2 linked regions of the Stegostoma tigrinum genome follow. The protein of the gene in region 1 purifies or fractionates together with the protein of each later gene. This does not show direct contact. Links are inferred from orthologs where the notes say so. Each region holds a gene or a part of one and is shown in the gene's direction. Other genes may lie near its edges.

Region 1 (8,031 bases):
AAAGTACCAAAAAAATGCAACTAAAGGCTGATAAGTCTGCTGGACCTATGGTGTTAAAAGGAATGAATGTAGAGACAGCAGATGCATAAGGTGTGAGCGCCTAAAATTTCCTAGATTCTGGAAAGTCCCATTATATTGGAAATCACAAATGTCACACCACTTTTCAAGAGAGGAGGGAGATGGGATGCAGGAAAATATAGGTCAGGTAGTGCAACATCTATTACTGGGGAAATGCTAGAATCCACTGAGGCAGTACTAGATGGAAATTGAAAAATAAAATCAGGCAAAAACAAAATGTTTTTGTGAAAGGAAAATAATGTTTATAGAATTATAGAATTCCTACTGTATGGCAACAGGCCATTTGGCCCATCGAATCTGCGCCAAATAACATCTCACCCACTCCCATTCCCCCACCCTATCCCCATAATCTCTCATTTCCAATAGCCAATCCGCCTAGCCTGCACATTATGAGGTAATTTAGCACGGCGAATCCACATAACTTGCATATCTTTGAACTGTGAGAGGAAACTAGAGATCCTGGCAGAAATCCACACAGATTCAGAGAGAATGTGCAAACTCCATACGCATAGTCATCCAAAGCTAGAATCGAACTTCAGTCCCTGGTGTTGAGGCAGCAGTACTAACCATTGACGCACCATACCACCCAATGTTTGACAAATTTGTTAAATTTCTTATAAGATGTAAGCAGGTGGATAAAGATGAACTTGTAAATGTAGTGTTTTTGGGGTTTAAAGAGGTATCTTTAGCTGCCACAAAAAAAGGTAACTGCATCGGTTGAGAGGACACAGTTTTGGGGGTGATATGCTGTGGACTGGCTAATAAGGAATGGGCAGTCTGGAAAAATGGTCAAACTATAACCGGTGAAGTGTGTGGGCAATCAGTGCATAATACCACCATGATGAAATGACAAATAACACGTAGCCAAATTTGTGGCCAATGTTACCAAGATACAAAGGAAAGCACATGTGGGGGAGGATAGAGTCTTCAAAGGAACAGATTCAATGAGCCAGCAAAAAAAATTGCCAGTCACATGATGGGGGAAAATGTAAGGTTGTGTACCTTAGCAGGAAAAACAGAAGAATATTACTTCAATGGGCAGAGACAGAGAGGCTATTCAATGGCGGAGTAGTTCAACAGACTGAATGGCCTACTCCTGTCATATTTCTTCTAGTCTTACTGCTGAATGCTACAGAACAGAGGGACTTGGTGTCCCAGTTCATGAATCACAAAGTTAGCACCAGAGCACAGCCAATAATTTGAAAGGCACATAGAATGTTGGCCACCCTGCAACAGCAACTGATGAATGCAAATGATCTCATACCCACCACCAATAGTGTACAAAATACCATGCAAGGTCTGTGAAAAACATTACATAGGCCAAACTGGAAGAAGACTGACTATAAAGGACACACGAACACCAACTAGCCACCGAGAGACACGACCAATTTTCACTGGTGTCAGTACACACAGACAAATAAGGACACTAATTCGACAGGGACAACACATCCAATAATAGCGCGAGCCAGAGAATTCCTGGAGGCCTAGCATTCCAACCAGAACTCCATCAACACACACATTGAACTGGACCCGATATACAAACCATTGAAAAACAGAACCAGAAATAATGCCAACCACCCAATAAACCAAAGCATATCAATATCAAGCGGGACAGAATGCCAATGCTCCACCAGAGACACACTGATGATGTTACCTAGCAGGGTGACAAAGTGCCTGCAACCAAACACACCGTCTTGGTGAGCAAATCTACAACTTCAATGCAGTAACCAATAGAGCCAATCTAACCTCCACACTCCTAATACACGCAGCTGAGGGGTACTGGAATATTCACTAACAACTTGAGGAGACAGCTCCATAAATATTCCCATCCTCAATGATGGAAGATCCCAGCTCGAGTGCAAAAGATAAGCCTGTAGCATTTGCACCAATCATCAGCTGGAAATACTGAGTAGATGATCCAGCTCAACTTCCACCTGAGATCCCCAGCATCATATATAGCATCAAGGAGCCCAAGCAAAACTGGAATCAACAAGAACTGAGGAACTCTCTGCTGGTTGGATCATACCCTGACGACAAATGAAGATCGTTACGCTCGTTTGAGGTCAGTCATCCCAGCTCCAGTGCAGGAGCTCTTTGGGGTAGTATCCGCAGCCTTACCATTTTCAGCTGCCTCATTAATGCCCTTCACTCCATCATAAAGTCAGAGTTTGGGATGCTCACTGATGATCATGCAAATTTCAGTACCATTGTGTATACTCACACGATGAAGAAAGAATCGAACCATTGCACCTATATATTCAATGGTATTACCATCACTGAAATCCCCAGGGTCACCATTGAGTGAAAATGAACTGGACTAACCATATGAACATTGTGGCTAGTGCTTTTGCTTCCGTACCTGAGCCAGGATGCCCAAGTTCAAGTCTCAACTGCTGCAGAGATATGTAACACACCTCTGAACAAGTTGATCAGAAAATAGCTATAAATACTGTGGCTACAAGAGCAGGTCAGAGGTTAGGAATTCTGCAACAAGTAGCTACTTTCCAATTCCCCAAGCCAGTCCACCATCTACATGTCACAAGATAGAGTGTGATAGAATTCTCTCAACTTGGCTGAATGAGTTTAGCTCCAACAACACTCAACAACAAAGACAAAGCAGTCCACCGAGTTGCACCCCATCCATCAACTTCAACATTCACTCCCTCTCGCATTGGCAGCAGTGTGTATCATCTGAAAGATGCAGTGCAGGAACTCATCAAGACTCCTTCGTCAGCACTTTCCAAATCCACGATCTCTTCCAATGACAGGGCCAAGTGCAGCAAATGCAAGGGAACACCACAATCTGCTAGTTCCCCTCTAAACCATCATAATTTAGTATGAAATTTCTTCCTTCATGGTCACTAGGTTAAAATCCCAGAACTCCCTCCCTAACAACACTGTGGATGTATTTACACCACCAAGGACTGCAGAGGTTCAAGGCATTTACCATTGCTTTTTCAAGGGCAATAAATGCTAGACTAGCCAAAGCCCAAATCCGTTGACTGAATATAAAAATTCAAGCCACGCTCTTTCTGAATGTTGGCGGAGCCTTGATACTTTGAACTGCCAACCACTGCTCCTATTTCTGGGATCTTATGATTGATTGGCTGATCTATTCAAGAATGTCTCCAAGGACCCTCTTCACCTCTCTACCAATACCAGAGTGCATATTTGCATCCATAAGGTCACAAATCGACTTGGATTTAGCTAGCTTGAAAGTTAGGGCTAGTCAGATGTTTTTCATTGAACAATATGTGGTTAAAAAAAATCAGATCTTTTCTTGAAACCATAATTGAGGACCATTTATATATTTCACTTCAAAGAAACAGGTTTGTGGGTTTACAGAGTCAACCTGCAATGCAAAAGCACCCCAGGTTTTCTTTTCCACACTGCCAACCGACTTAATGCATTTCTCCAACATCCTCACTCTTAACAAGAGAAAGAGGCCCATGCATACCTTTGTCGTTTTGATCATGACCATCCAACATAGAAAGCATTCTAAACAGATGGTATGGCAACTGCTCTGCCCACAGCCATTAAGGAACTGCACAGATTTATGAATACAGCCCAATCCATCATGCAAGCCAAACTTCCATGCATTGACTCCATCTGCACTTCTTGCTGCCTTTGAAAGGCAGCCAACATAATCAAAGACACCCTCCCACCCAGCTTATAATCTCTTCCAACCTCTTGCGTCAAGCAGAAGATACAAAAGCTGAAACACATGTACTAACAGATTCAAGAACTGCGTTTTTTGCCACTTATTAGACTTCTGAATGGATCTCTAAAATTTTATATTTAAATGTTGATCTAGCATTTTGTGTACCTTATTTGCAGCCTTAACTTTGTATTCTTCACTTTGTTCTATTACCCTAATGCGCTTTGTATATGATCTGTCTGAAATGCAGCCAAAACAAAACTTGTCACTGTATCAAGATTTTTGTGACAAAAATAAATCAAACACAAAAAAAATCAACCAAGTGTTTCAGATTAAACATCGTTGGACACTCTTTGCTGTATTCACTTTCAACATAGATCTTTTTCCAGCTTCTCTCCAACCTCTCTTCATACCTACCCAGAGAACTCACCTGGGTCAACTGGTCCAAGTGCAACCAATGCTTACCACCTTCGCTTTCAGGTGGGGGGCGGGCGAGAAGAGAGAAGATGGGGGGCGGGCGAGAAGAGAGAAGATGGGGGGCGGGCGAGAAGAGAGAAGATGGGGGGCGGGCGAGAAGAGAGAAGATGGGGGGCGGGCGAGAAGAGAGAAGATGGGGGGCGGGCGAGAAGAGAGAAGATGGGGGGCGGGCGAGAAGAGAGAAGATGGGGGGCGGGCGAGAAGAGAGAAGATGGGGGGCGGGCGAGAAGAGAGAAGATGGGGGGCGGGCGAGAAGAGAGAAGATGGGGGGCGGGCGAGAAGAGAGAAGATGGGGGGCGGGCGAGAAGAGAGAAGATGGGGGGCGGGCGAGAAGAGAGAAGATGGGGGGCGAGAAGAGAGAAGATGGGGGGAATGGGAAAGACAGAGAGGTTGTGGGCGGGGAAGGTGGAAAGGACGTGTGACGTTAAGGGGTAACAACCGGTGTGAGGGAAGAGGGTGTTGAGATTGCCGTGAGAGGGGTTGGGGGTGGGGGGGTGAGGAACGAGTTTGTGCTGGTTGGAGGGTCGTCCCGAAGGTGGGGAGCGGGGGCTAGAATTACTCACGGTAAATGGACCTCTCAGGCCCGAGACTGGGCCGCACTGCTCAGGGGAGCACCGCCATCTTGCCGTGGCCACGCTGGGGATCCTGGGAGCTGGAGCTGGGGAGTGAGACCAGCGTCAGGGCACACGCCCCGACAACGCGGTCCAGCTACGCGCAGCCCGGAACGGGGCGTTCAATGTCGTCGTGCGGCGCGGGTGGTGATGACGTCACGAGGCATAGGGCATGCGCATTGAGAGGGTGGGAATCGACCGAGACCGGAGAGAGGCTGCGCTGGAGAGGTGAGTGAGTGAGTGAGTGAGTGACTGAGGGAGGGTGTTGAATATGTTAGGGTACAATGGGTAGGGGAGGCGGTAGTGGTGAGTGTCCTGGGAGGGTAAGTTCCAGTGGATGGGGGATAAGGAGAGAGGGTAGTACCAGGGAGTTGGGTGGGTGACTGAGGCGTGGGGGGAGGTGGCTTAGTCCCGGGCCCCAGTTAACAACGATCCGGACCAGTGTGCGTTTATAAAGGAAAGCCTGCAGGGAATTGTGAAGGCAGACTGTGTTTGACTAACTTGCTTGAAATGTTGAAGGCGGGGACGATGCTGTAGATATGTCAGTGTGGACTGGATGCCTAAAAGGCATTCAGTCAAGCGCCGCGGGATAAATGCTGGAATACTCGGGGGTAAGGTTAGTCGGCCGATCGGAAAACGGTAACGATGAACGTGATTGAGCATCACTGTTTCATTGGCATAAGAGCGTGCACTCGCACAATTTCAAAATTTGCAAAACAGCCTTCGGGATGTGGGTAGGCTGGTGAAATGGGAAGACTGGGGTGAGGTGAAAATAATGATTGTTCTTGACAAAAAAGGCTGCATTGACCTAGTGTGCATCAAAACCTCTCTCAACAAAAGCCAACATACTACTTCCCTCCTTTATTGCCTGCTGCATCTATATGCTTACCTTTAGCAACACATCCTTTCTGACAGATGAGTGGCAAGTAACAATTGTGCCATACATTTACCATCTCCAACAAGAAAGAGTTGAACGATTGCCATTCAATGATGTAACTGTCCCTGAAACCCCTATTAATGTCTTTGGGTTACCCATTGCACAGAAACTCAACTGGACTCACCACATAAATGCAGTGGCTACCAGAGCAGATGAGGAGTCCTGCGGTGACTAACTCACTTCCTGACTCCCCAAAGCCTGTCCGCCATCTAAAAGGCAAGGTCAGGAATGTGATGGAATATTCCCTATTTGCCTGGACGAATGCAGCTCCAAGAACATTTAAGCTTGACACTAACTGGGACAAGGTAGCTTGCAGGAAACAGCCACTCCCTCTAATGCCAATGGTCAGTAGCAGCAGTGTGTACTATCCGTAAGCTGCACTGCAGAAATTCACCAGTATTCCTTAGCACCTTCAAAATTCCATCTCGAATGACAAGCATAGCTGATGTACGGGAATACCACCCCTGCAAGCTTCCCTCCAAGCCACTTACCATCCTGACTTGGACATATGTTACCGTTACTTCAGTGTTGCTGAGTCAGAATTGTGGAAGTTCCACCCTTTCACGAGTGTGCATGTACCTCCACAAAATGGACTTTAGGTTTTCAAGTAGGCAGCTCCCTACTACCTCAGCTTGGTACAGACAATAAATGCTGGTCATGCCAGTGATGTCTACATCCTGTAAATTTTGTTTGGTCTGTGACAAGTGCGATGCAAAGCAGTTAGACATGAAGTGATACACTTTGGCAGGGGAAAGAAGGAGAAGCAATATAAGTCAAAGGTTTCAATTGCAACATGATTGCAGGCCATCTTAGAAATGGCTTTCAATCAGAAAATGGAAGGTAGAGACTATCAGAAAAATTACAATCACCAGGGAAGTACTATTGAGCAAATTGGTGAAACTGTGGGCTGACAATTCCTGGACCCTGCAGGGCTTCATCTAAATGTCTTTCAAAATGGCTAATAGTTATCCATTGGTTTTAATTTTTCATAGCTCTGTAATTCAGACAGTTTCTATTGGATTGGAAAATAGTGAATGTAACTTTATTTAAAACAAAAAATGGCAGGAACAAAAGGCCATTTGACCTAACATTTATGGTAGGGACGATTATTGAAGACATTTAGGAAATTCAGACCAAATCAATGTGGTTTTGAGAAAGAGAAATCCTTTCTAATCATTTTATTGGAGTCCTTTGACGATGTAACACCAGCGGTAGAGAAAGGGAAGCTGAATGTAGTGCACTTGGATTTCCAGAAGACATTTGATAAGATTGCGTACTAAAGGTTATTGCAGAAAATAAAAAGCACATAGTGTCAGAGGTAATATACAGATAGGAGATTGCCTGGCTTCAGAAAACAGTGGGGATAAATGCGTCATTTTATGGTTGGCAACATGGAACGAGTGGTACGCCACAGGAGCTGTCCTGGGGCTTCCACTTTTTACAATTTCTATGAATGATTTGGATGAAGGAACAGACAGCGTGGGTGCTAAACTTGCTGATGGCCTACAGGTAGATCAGAAAAGGAGTTGTGAAAAGGACGTATGGGAGTTACAGAGGGATGTCAATAGGTTAAGTGAGTGGGTGAAGATCTGGCAAATTTAGTATCAAGTAGGAAGTTGTCTAATCTTGGCTCAAAGGATAAAAAGGAAGCATATTATCTGAATTGAGTGTTTGCAGAGCTTTGAGTTTGGATCTGAGTGGTCTGTTTCCATGCTCATGACTGTGTTTCTGAGTGTTGTGCATGAACTACAAAAGGTTCTGCAGAGTCATACCAGAATTCAATTCTTATCTCTATGTAGAAGTCAGACCTGTGTTTCTTCAATTCCTGTTTTTGTTTTGCAGAAGCTGGGGTGTTCGCTCACCCTTCTCAAAAGCGATAGTTCATAACGTGACCCAATTCGTAGGCAGAGAAATCCTGTTCACATTAGCAGATGGTTGGAAGGGCAGGAGGCACAAGTTAATAATAAAGGACCGAAGGTGCACTGAGCACAAGGTGTTTTACACAGTGAAGATTTAGCATATATACTGTGTGACAGGGACAGATTCACGTGTGGATGTCTGGAGAAATTAGAAATGCACTGTTTTAGGATGTGCTAAGCTGCTTTTCCTGAGAGCTGTCACAGGTATCATGGTGACTGAAAGGTACCATTCTATGGTGCAAAACCTAAGGTTGCAAGTACCCCCTCTCCCTCTTTGTCACCCCCTTTTCTCCCCCTGTTTGCCACCTGTAATCGCCTCTTCATTCCCACATCTCTCAAATATATCACCCA
Region 2 (7,417 bases), on another chromosome or scaffold:
CACTGATCAATCTGACAAGACTTCTTTCGACATGATGTTAATAATTAATTTCCAGGTTTCAATGTTAATGTATGTATTCAATATCCAATGGTATGTTCAGCAAATAACTGCAGAGGAATTCTAAGAGATTATCTCCAGTCAACACTGAGTTCTGAGATTGTTGACCAGGTTGCGAACATGAAAATGTTTGAATGTCAAATCAAGTTCAGTTTATTATCTATGGAAAATTCATTTTGAGCTATTTTAAATGTATAAATTAATTATAACCATGAAGAATAAATCACGGGCATCTAACTTGATTATTTTAATATATGAAATGGTTTTAATCAATGAGGCAGTAAAACCATAACATTGACAAGGAATAAGTAATGAGAAAACACAGCAAAGAGATTAATTACTCCCATCATACATATATATCATGTATTCATCAACTCATTATAAGTGTTTGTGTATAAAGGTGTAAACAAGTTCAAGAAACAATTTGTCCTACATCTGAGGGATTATGCCCATTTCCCTGAGTGCATCGGATGATAATACTGAGTCAAGGGGTGATTTTCGCTGTTCATGGCATCTTCACTTTTCTCAAGAACAGATTACATCAAGAGAGATTTGCACATCAAATGGCTTCCCTTTCTGGTTCAACAATTCAAACAGTCTCCTTTTCTAAGATAACAATACAAAGAGAGACATCAAACAAGCATCTTATTCTCTACTAAAGTCATATATAAAGGTTTCATGATTGTGGGATCAATTCAAAAGGACTTAAGTTTTCTGACATTATAATCATGTATATGCCTTGATTGCCAACACTCTATCCTGCTCGCTTCAACCATTCAACTTATTTTAAACTGGTGACTATTCCAATATTCACATCATGAATCGTCACAAGAACAATATCATTAAGTGCTTTTTTTCCATAAAATCCATAATTAGTTCTTTCATTTTGTTTTCCTTCCTAGTTGCATGGTACTAAAAGCTGAAGAGAAATGAACAAAGGTGGCATAAACACAGAGGGGTCATTTGTCTTTCTTGGTGTGAAGGTTGTCATGTTATGCATACACTTAATGCATCAATAAAATCATAACATGTAGGGGGAAAAGTAGGACATTCAGACCATTGAGCCTGCTCTGCCATTCAATGAGATCGCAGCTGATCTGATAATCCTCAACTACACCTTCTTGCCTTTTCTCCAAATCTTTGATTTCCTTATTGAATAAAAATCTGCTGATCTTAGCCTTGAATTTACTTAACCACCTAGCCACAACAGCCTCTACAGTAAAGAATGCTGCTAAAGCTCTGAGAGAAGAAATTCCACCTCACACTATGCATCCATTTTAAGGTGTCTTGATGCAAGTCTTTCTGCCTTAGCCTCAGCCCAATGAGACTGCATCTGACTAGCACTGTCTGAGTTGGTCCTCCACAGCAGTGACTTGCCTGGCACTCATCTGGACTGCAAACAGGGAGTTTGCAATGAAGAGCGAGCCTCAAGTAAAGCTGTGCTGCCAGTGCCTTGGTCTCGATGTTGCATACACTGAAGCATGATTACTATGCAGTTATCTTCCTGCACCCCTTGTAACTGGGTGTGGTAAGACGTCTTATCAGGTTCCAATCAGGCAGTAAGCAGCAGGGAAACTAAATGGTATGTTGGCCTTTACACAAGAGGGTTTGAGTCCAGGAGCAAGAAAGTTTTACTGTAGCATTGCTGAGAGCACACTGCTGTATTATTATTCCCTCAGAGGGTGGTGAACTTTGGAATTCTCCACTGCAGAAGGGAGGCCAAGTCACTGAATATGGTTAAGACAGAAATAGATTTCTAGAAATTATAGGCATTAAGGATATGAGGAGAGAATTTAACATTGAGATAGAGGATCAGTCATGATCACACTGAATGCAGACCAAGCTCAATGGGCCAAATGGCCTACTCCTACTCTTATTTTCTGTATGTTTCTAATTTCCGAGAAACCACCTCTCTGCACCAGCATGGACCGACCCTTACCCACCACGACATTCCATCAGAGCATACGCACTTGGCTGTTGTCCAACAAAAAAAGCAACAAACAAAAACCTTTTCATGACATCCTTACACAACAATATGTTCAAATCTGCAAACAGCTCTTTCAAATCTGTCAACCTTCCCTGAAGGGGTCAGAAGTTTTGCTTTTGGTCAATTAATACCCCACAAAACATTAAGTGGCATCAGGGCAGTTGGTATGGGCAGTGAGTGACACTTTGGATGGCAGGATGGGACAACCTGCAATATGCCCTTTGTCTGTTTGGCAGCCAGCCAGTGCAGCTTCCCTTTAAGGGGCAGCCTGTATTTAACAACCAAAGGCTAATTGGAAAATGTGCTAGTCTGTCATCTGAACAGACTCCCCCACTGTGCATGTACCCATTGCTTCTGGATTCTAGGGTCAATCAATGGTTCTAACTGCTGGGTCTGATACAGAAATTATTTCTCCTGAAGGGGTCTCCAACATTGCAATGGTTCATCTGCACTTCAATACTTGAGGATACAGTAAACAAACACAGGAATGGAGAGAAGCCATTTGCCTTACAGATGTGGTCCACGAGGAAGGGGGTGCTTTCCCAGGTGGCTGTAGATGTCAGCAGCTGTGGCCTGCTGCAAGACACTAAGGCTTGAGGCATTGCAGCACAGACATGGTCAGAGAGCTGATCCTCTCCCCGTAGACATTATTTTGTGGGTCTTGCCTTCTTCCAGCTGGATTTTTGTGTTCACCCTTTCATAAGATGTGCTTTGGTTGAGGAGAAGACAACTGGGATTACTGCTGGTGCTGATGGTGTCAGTGCTGCCATTCATCAGAGGTTCGAGCTGGGGTGCTGCATATCTTGCTCACATGTCGTGTTGGAGGTTGGCAGTTGGCAAGTGCGTTTGAAGGAGATGCAAATGGTAGGTCAGCAAAGAGACTTCCAGAAAGTTGACAAAGAGAAGACATGCTTTGAACAGCACGACTGGAGCTCTTCAATTTCACTGATCAAAGCCTTGCCAGCCTGTCAATTTCACTGAAGAAGCTGTGCCAGTTGTTCACTTGCTCAGCGATCCTGAAAACAGGTATTCCGGCTGGAAAACCCAGAACTGAAGATTCCAGATATACACCATGAGCAATTTGAATGTTTTAATTATAGCTGCACAGATATTCCTTGCTCATCTTCAGTCATAGCCTTGTGAAAGTTGCAGAAGGATGGGATGATGTCAGGAGCCCTATCCAATTCAGTGTCACTTTTAGGGGATTCAGTTCCCAGACTTGTCCAAAACCAATGGCCCTTTGCCTGGGAAAAATCATCTATATTACCATCACCACCACAACCCCAGCCCGTTTGTACTTAGCAATTGAAAAATTGCCTGTAGTGTGCCTGTAGAAATTTCCATTTGCGTTGGTGGCAGTCAAGGCTTTTGATAGAAGCTAAGACTTTGTGGAATAAAGCTCCATTGTTTCTACATTTGCAATGAGCTTGTCTGAAGCAATGTTGGTGGTCAAGATGGAGAGGTCAGAACTGAGAAATGTCAGGAGTACTTAATGCCACGGGAAAGGCATGGTTCCATTGCTATAAGAATGTGGGTATTTATGGAGTCACGGAGTTATACAGCCTGAAAACAGATCCTTCAGTCCAACCAGTCCATGCCAAATATAATCCCCACCTGCCTGCTCCTGGCCCATATCCCTCCAAACATTTCCTATTCATATATCCATCCAAATGTCGTTTAAACATTGTAATTGTACCCACATCCACTACTTCATCAGGAAGTTCATTCCTCACGCAAACCACCCGCTGTGTGAAAAATTTGCTTCTTATGTCTTTTTTATATCTCTCTCCTCTCACCTTTAAAATGTGCCCCCTTACTTTGAAATTCTCAATCTTAGGGAAAAGACAAGTACCATCAACTCAATCGTCACCTCTCATTGTTTTATGAACTTCTGTCAGGTCACCTCTCAACTTCATATGCTCCAATGAAAAGTGTCGAAGCCTGTCCAACCTTTCCTTGTAATTCAAACCTTCCATCACTGGCAACATCCTGGCAAATCTCTCCTGAACACTTCAGCTTGATAATATCCTTCCCATAACTGAGTGTCCAGAACTGGACGCTGTATTCCAGAAGAGGCCTCACCAATATCCTGTATAACCTCCACATAATGTTACTGGCAATTTTGAACAGGTTTTGCAGATGGTAAGTGAAAATCATAACAGTATTTTTAAAAAGTTTTGAATTAGCTGTACCACTGCCAGGAATACCAGGAAAAGCCATATTTCTGAGGGAGGGAATCAGGAAGTACACCTGTTCAGAAACCTATCAGGTGTTGTAAACACCTGCAGAACAGGAAGCACCTCACCTGTTGCTATGGTTTCACTCTGTAACAGGCAACACCTGTACCTATGTTCTGCTAGCTTCAGTGAAAGGAGGAGGGGAAATAATCTTGCATCGGCTCTGCTTACAGGCTTGCGTTCGATGATAATTTTGTAATCCAGTTGTTAAATATTAACCAGCTGGTTCAACATTTTGTCTTCCACTTCACTTATCGGCAAAGGCAGGAGAAGTTCACAAACAACAATGGTAAGCTTTGGGCTTTTAAGTCCAAATTTCTAATTTATGTTCATATCTATATTTTTTAATACAAGTATACTGATGACTTATAAATAAGGTATATAAATATACTGCGTATAGAAGCTTTTACGAAAAGTGCAAAGCAAGAGGTGGAGAACCTAGGAAGCATAATTGTACTGTAATCCGAAAAGACTGGAGATTTTGGGCCTACTTTAGTTTTCCTCCAGGTTCAGCAAAACATATTTTTCCACAGGTATTTACACGTATGAAGAGAATTGTCGTAAAATTTGTAAAAGGACCTTGCTCAAAATATTCGATGATTTGTTATAAAAATCCATTCAGCAAAGGCCTAGCTGAGAAAATGTGGTGTTTTGCATATGGGCTACTACTTTGGGTACCCCTCCCTCACCAAAGCATTAATGGCTCTTTATTGTTTTGCTGTTATACCAACTGAATCACAATTTGCATTACTCCCAGTATAATGCAATAAATATCAAACACAACAAATTACTGTTGCATTGGCTTTTGGATTCAAAATTGTAATCTTTGTCCAGATTTGCCCCTCTTTGCTTTCCCCTTTTCCTGAAGTTGCTGCTTTACACTGGGTGTGACCCCACTATCAAAAATAGCCCTTCATGGTTGTCCAAATGACCCCATTCCAGGTGTCAGGTTGTTTCATCACTACAGGATCACATTTAATCCTGAATCTGTTTTCACCCAAATTTCCCACATATTTTCCCGCAGGAATTATTAGTGATCAGGATCAGGCTCTGTGGATAATATGTTTTTCGTTACCACCCTGGGGACATTGGTACCACTCAGATTGCCTCCCTACTCCAAAACAATGCCAGCTGAGACAGGTTGGATCAGCCCAGGAAGCTGAGGAATTTAGGACCATTCCATGTGTATGATCCAGCACCTCAGAACAAGGTGAAGTTATCGTATAGGGAGAGGGAAGTAAGAGGGGTGAATGTTTGTTTCTTTATGATGAGCCCAACTTCCTGTAGGCCATGTGGGTCTCTCAGAAATATCTGTTGAAAGTCATAGCTGTTAAATTTGATAAGGGTGAAATTCTCAATTATAAACATAAATTATAGCAGAAACATAAACACAAATATACATAGGCCCCAGGGACATTAAAGTGACATTAATATGTTCTCTGTTCTGACCTTTCTTTCACTATCTTTCACTTTTTTCTCATGTACTTTATTCTATGTTTCTCATTGTCTCTTTGTAGGTACAGAATTTATAACAAAAATAAAACTCTTCATGTAAGGAGTGCTGCTCTGAATATTTCTAATAGAGGACTTTGAGTACAACTATAACTAGTAGAACATCCTGGTCTCCACAGAGTCTTAAAACTAAGGTACCAATAGTGCAGACGCTGGATATTTGGTCTGGACTGAGCAGCATGGTGTTCAACACAAAGTCTTTATTGAAGTGAAACTTAAGATGTCTGCCTCTAGGCTGATTGCCTCATCTTAGAAGTCACATGACAATAGCACACTAGGACAGACATTTATATATGGTTGCATTTCAATCCAATTACCCTCTTATTGTTCTACAAAAAAGGTATGTATTGTCACGCAGGTAGTTTTAGATAACCAAATCACCAACTATATACAGTAATATTCTCATGCCTTAGCACTTCATTATTTTCACCAGTCTCTGTGTATGCATTGGATACATAGTCCTGAAATCATGCTAGTCTCTCCATGGTATGTGCACATGCTGTCATAATTGGCAGTTCATTCTCCGTGATGTCCCTTCGGCAGGAAGTGTTATTTGGATTGCTGCAGTAGTTGTTGTGCTGTTTCTGTTTTTGTGTTGCTGTGGACCTCAGTATCTGATGGTTGATGTGTAGGTGGTGCTTCATCTCTTCCCAATCAGCTGCCTGCAGTATTGGAACAGCTTCTCAGCCAAGTGTACGTGCCTGTGGTTGCAACAGTATATCTGGCAGCTCACTTCCACCACCTGTGAAGTGGGTTATATCTGCTCCATGCTGGTTTCAAGTTGCCACTTGGGCTGGCTTTTGTTGAATATTTGTACCCTGACTGGATCTTGCAATGTTTTAACAGTCTTGGCAAAATAAAATTTGGTTTTCTGCCAGTTGATCGTGCTTTTTCACTCACACCTGTTACTATTTCTGGCTTCCATTTTTTTTTTTTGCTTTTGGAACAGTAATTTGGGTGTGGATTGACTTTAGTCTTTGCACTGGACTACTTTCCAAGCCCTCAGTATGTGTGCTTCTCCACTCGAGGATTGCTGTGTGCACATCTGGGCAGGATTTACTTGATTTCTTTATGATTCCTTTAGAATTTTCATTGCCACCTCAAGCCTTTCCTTTTGACTCTGGATAACGTGGGGATGATGTGTCAGATTGAATTTCCCGAATTTTTTATGAAGCTACTGAATTCTTCACTGGCAATAACATTGGGAGTAGAATAGTGTGTAAATTGAATATTCAACACACACCATTATTGAACATAGCAGGTCCACTACCAATGAGTCAGAATCTTACTCTGCTGTGACAAGGTAATCAGTTCCTGAGTGTGATAAGATCTAATTCCACCTTCATCTATGGTTTATCTGGGATGTCATCAACAATGCTCTAGTTTGCTTAGCTCAATATTATTTACAAGCTCTGTCCTGCCCAATGTGGTCCCTTCTTCTGTTACTCATGTTTGGCCAATACAGCATGTCTCTCACCTTCCTCAGACTTGACTCAATTCTTCAGTGACCTGAATGGATGCACTTTAACATCTCTCCTCTCAAATCCTTCAAGATAATGACTATTTCCTTTATGCAATAGGCCACCTTGGGCTGTCAATTCACCTCTGTATACCCAAAATGCTG

What was found.
Region 2: the proteins of synaptosomal-associated protein 23-like (region 1) and si:ch73-234b20.5 purify together in Homo sapiens (affinity purification with western blotting; 3 studies listed by BioGRID and IntAct, with this or other methods). This does not show direct contact. The link is inferred for Stegostoma tigrinum from reciprocal best matches to the Homo sapiens genes SNAP23 and VAMP8.

The regions. Positions count from the first base shown.
Region 1 is NC_081363.1:85,180,010-85,188,040, forward strand, and holds the start of synaptosomal-associated protein 23-like, read left to right. Parts: upstream 1-4,972; 5' UTR 4,973-5,052; intron 5,053-8,031. UniProt on the Homo sapiens protein: Essential component of the high affinity receptor for the general membrane fusion machinery and an important regulator of transport vesicle docking and fusion.
Region 2 is NC_081354.1:77,936,772-77,944,188, reverse strand, and holds the start of si:ch73-234b20.5 (vesicle-associated membrane protein 8), read left to right. Parts: upstream 1-4,412; 5' UTR 4,413-4,567; coding exon 4,568-4,570; intron 4,571-7,417. UniProt on the Homo sapiens protein: SNAREs, soluble N-ethylmaleimide-sensitive factor-attachment protein receptors, are essential proteins for fusion of cellular membranes.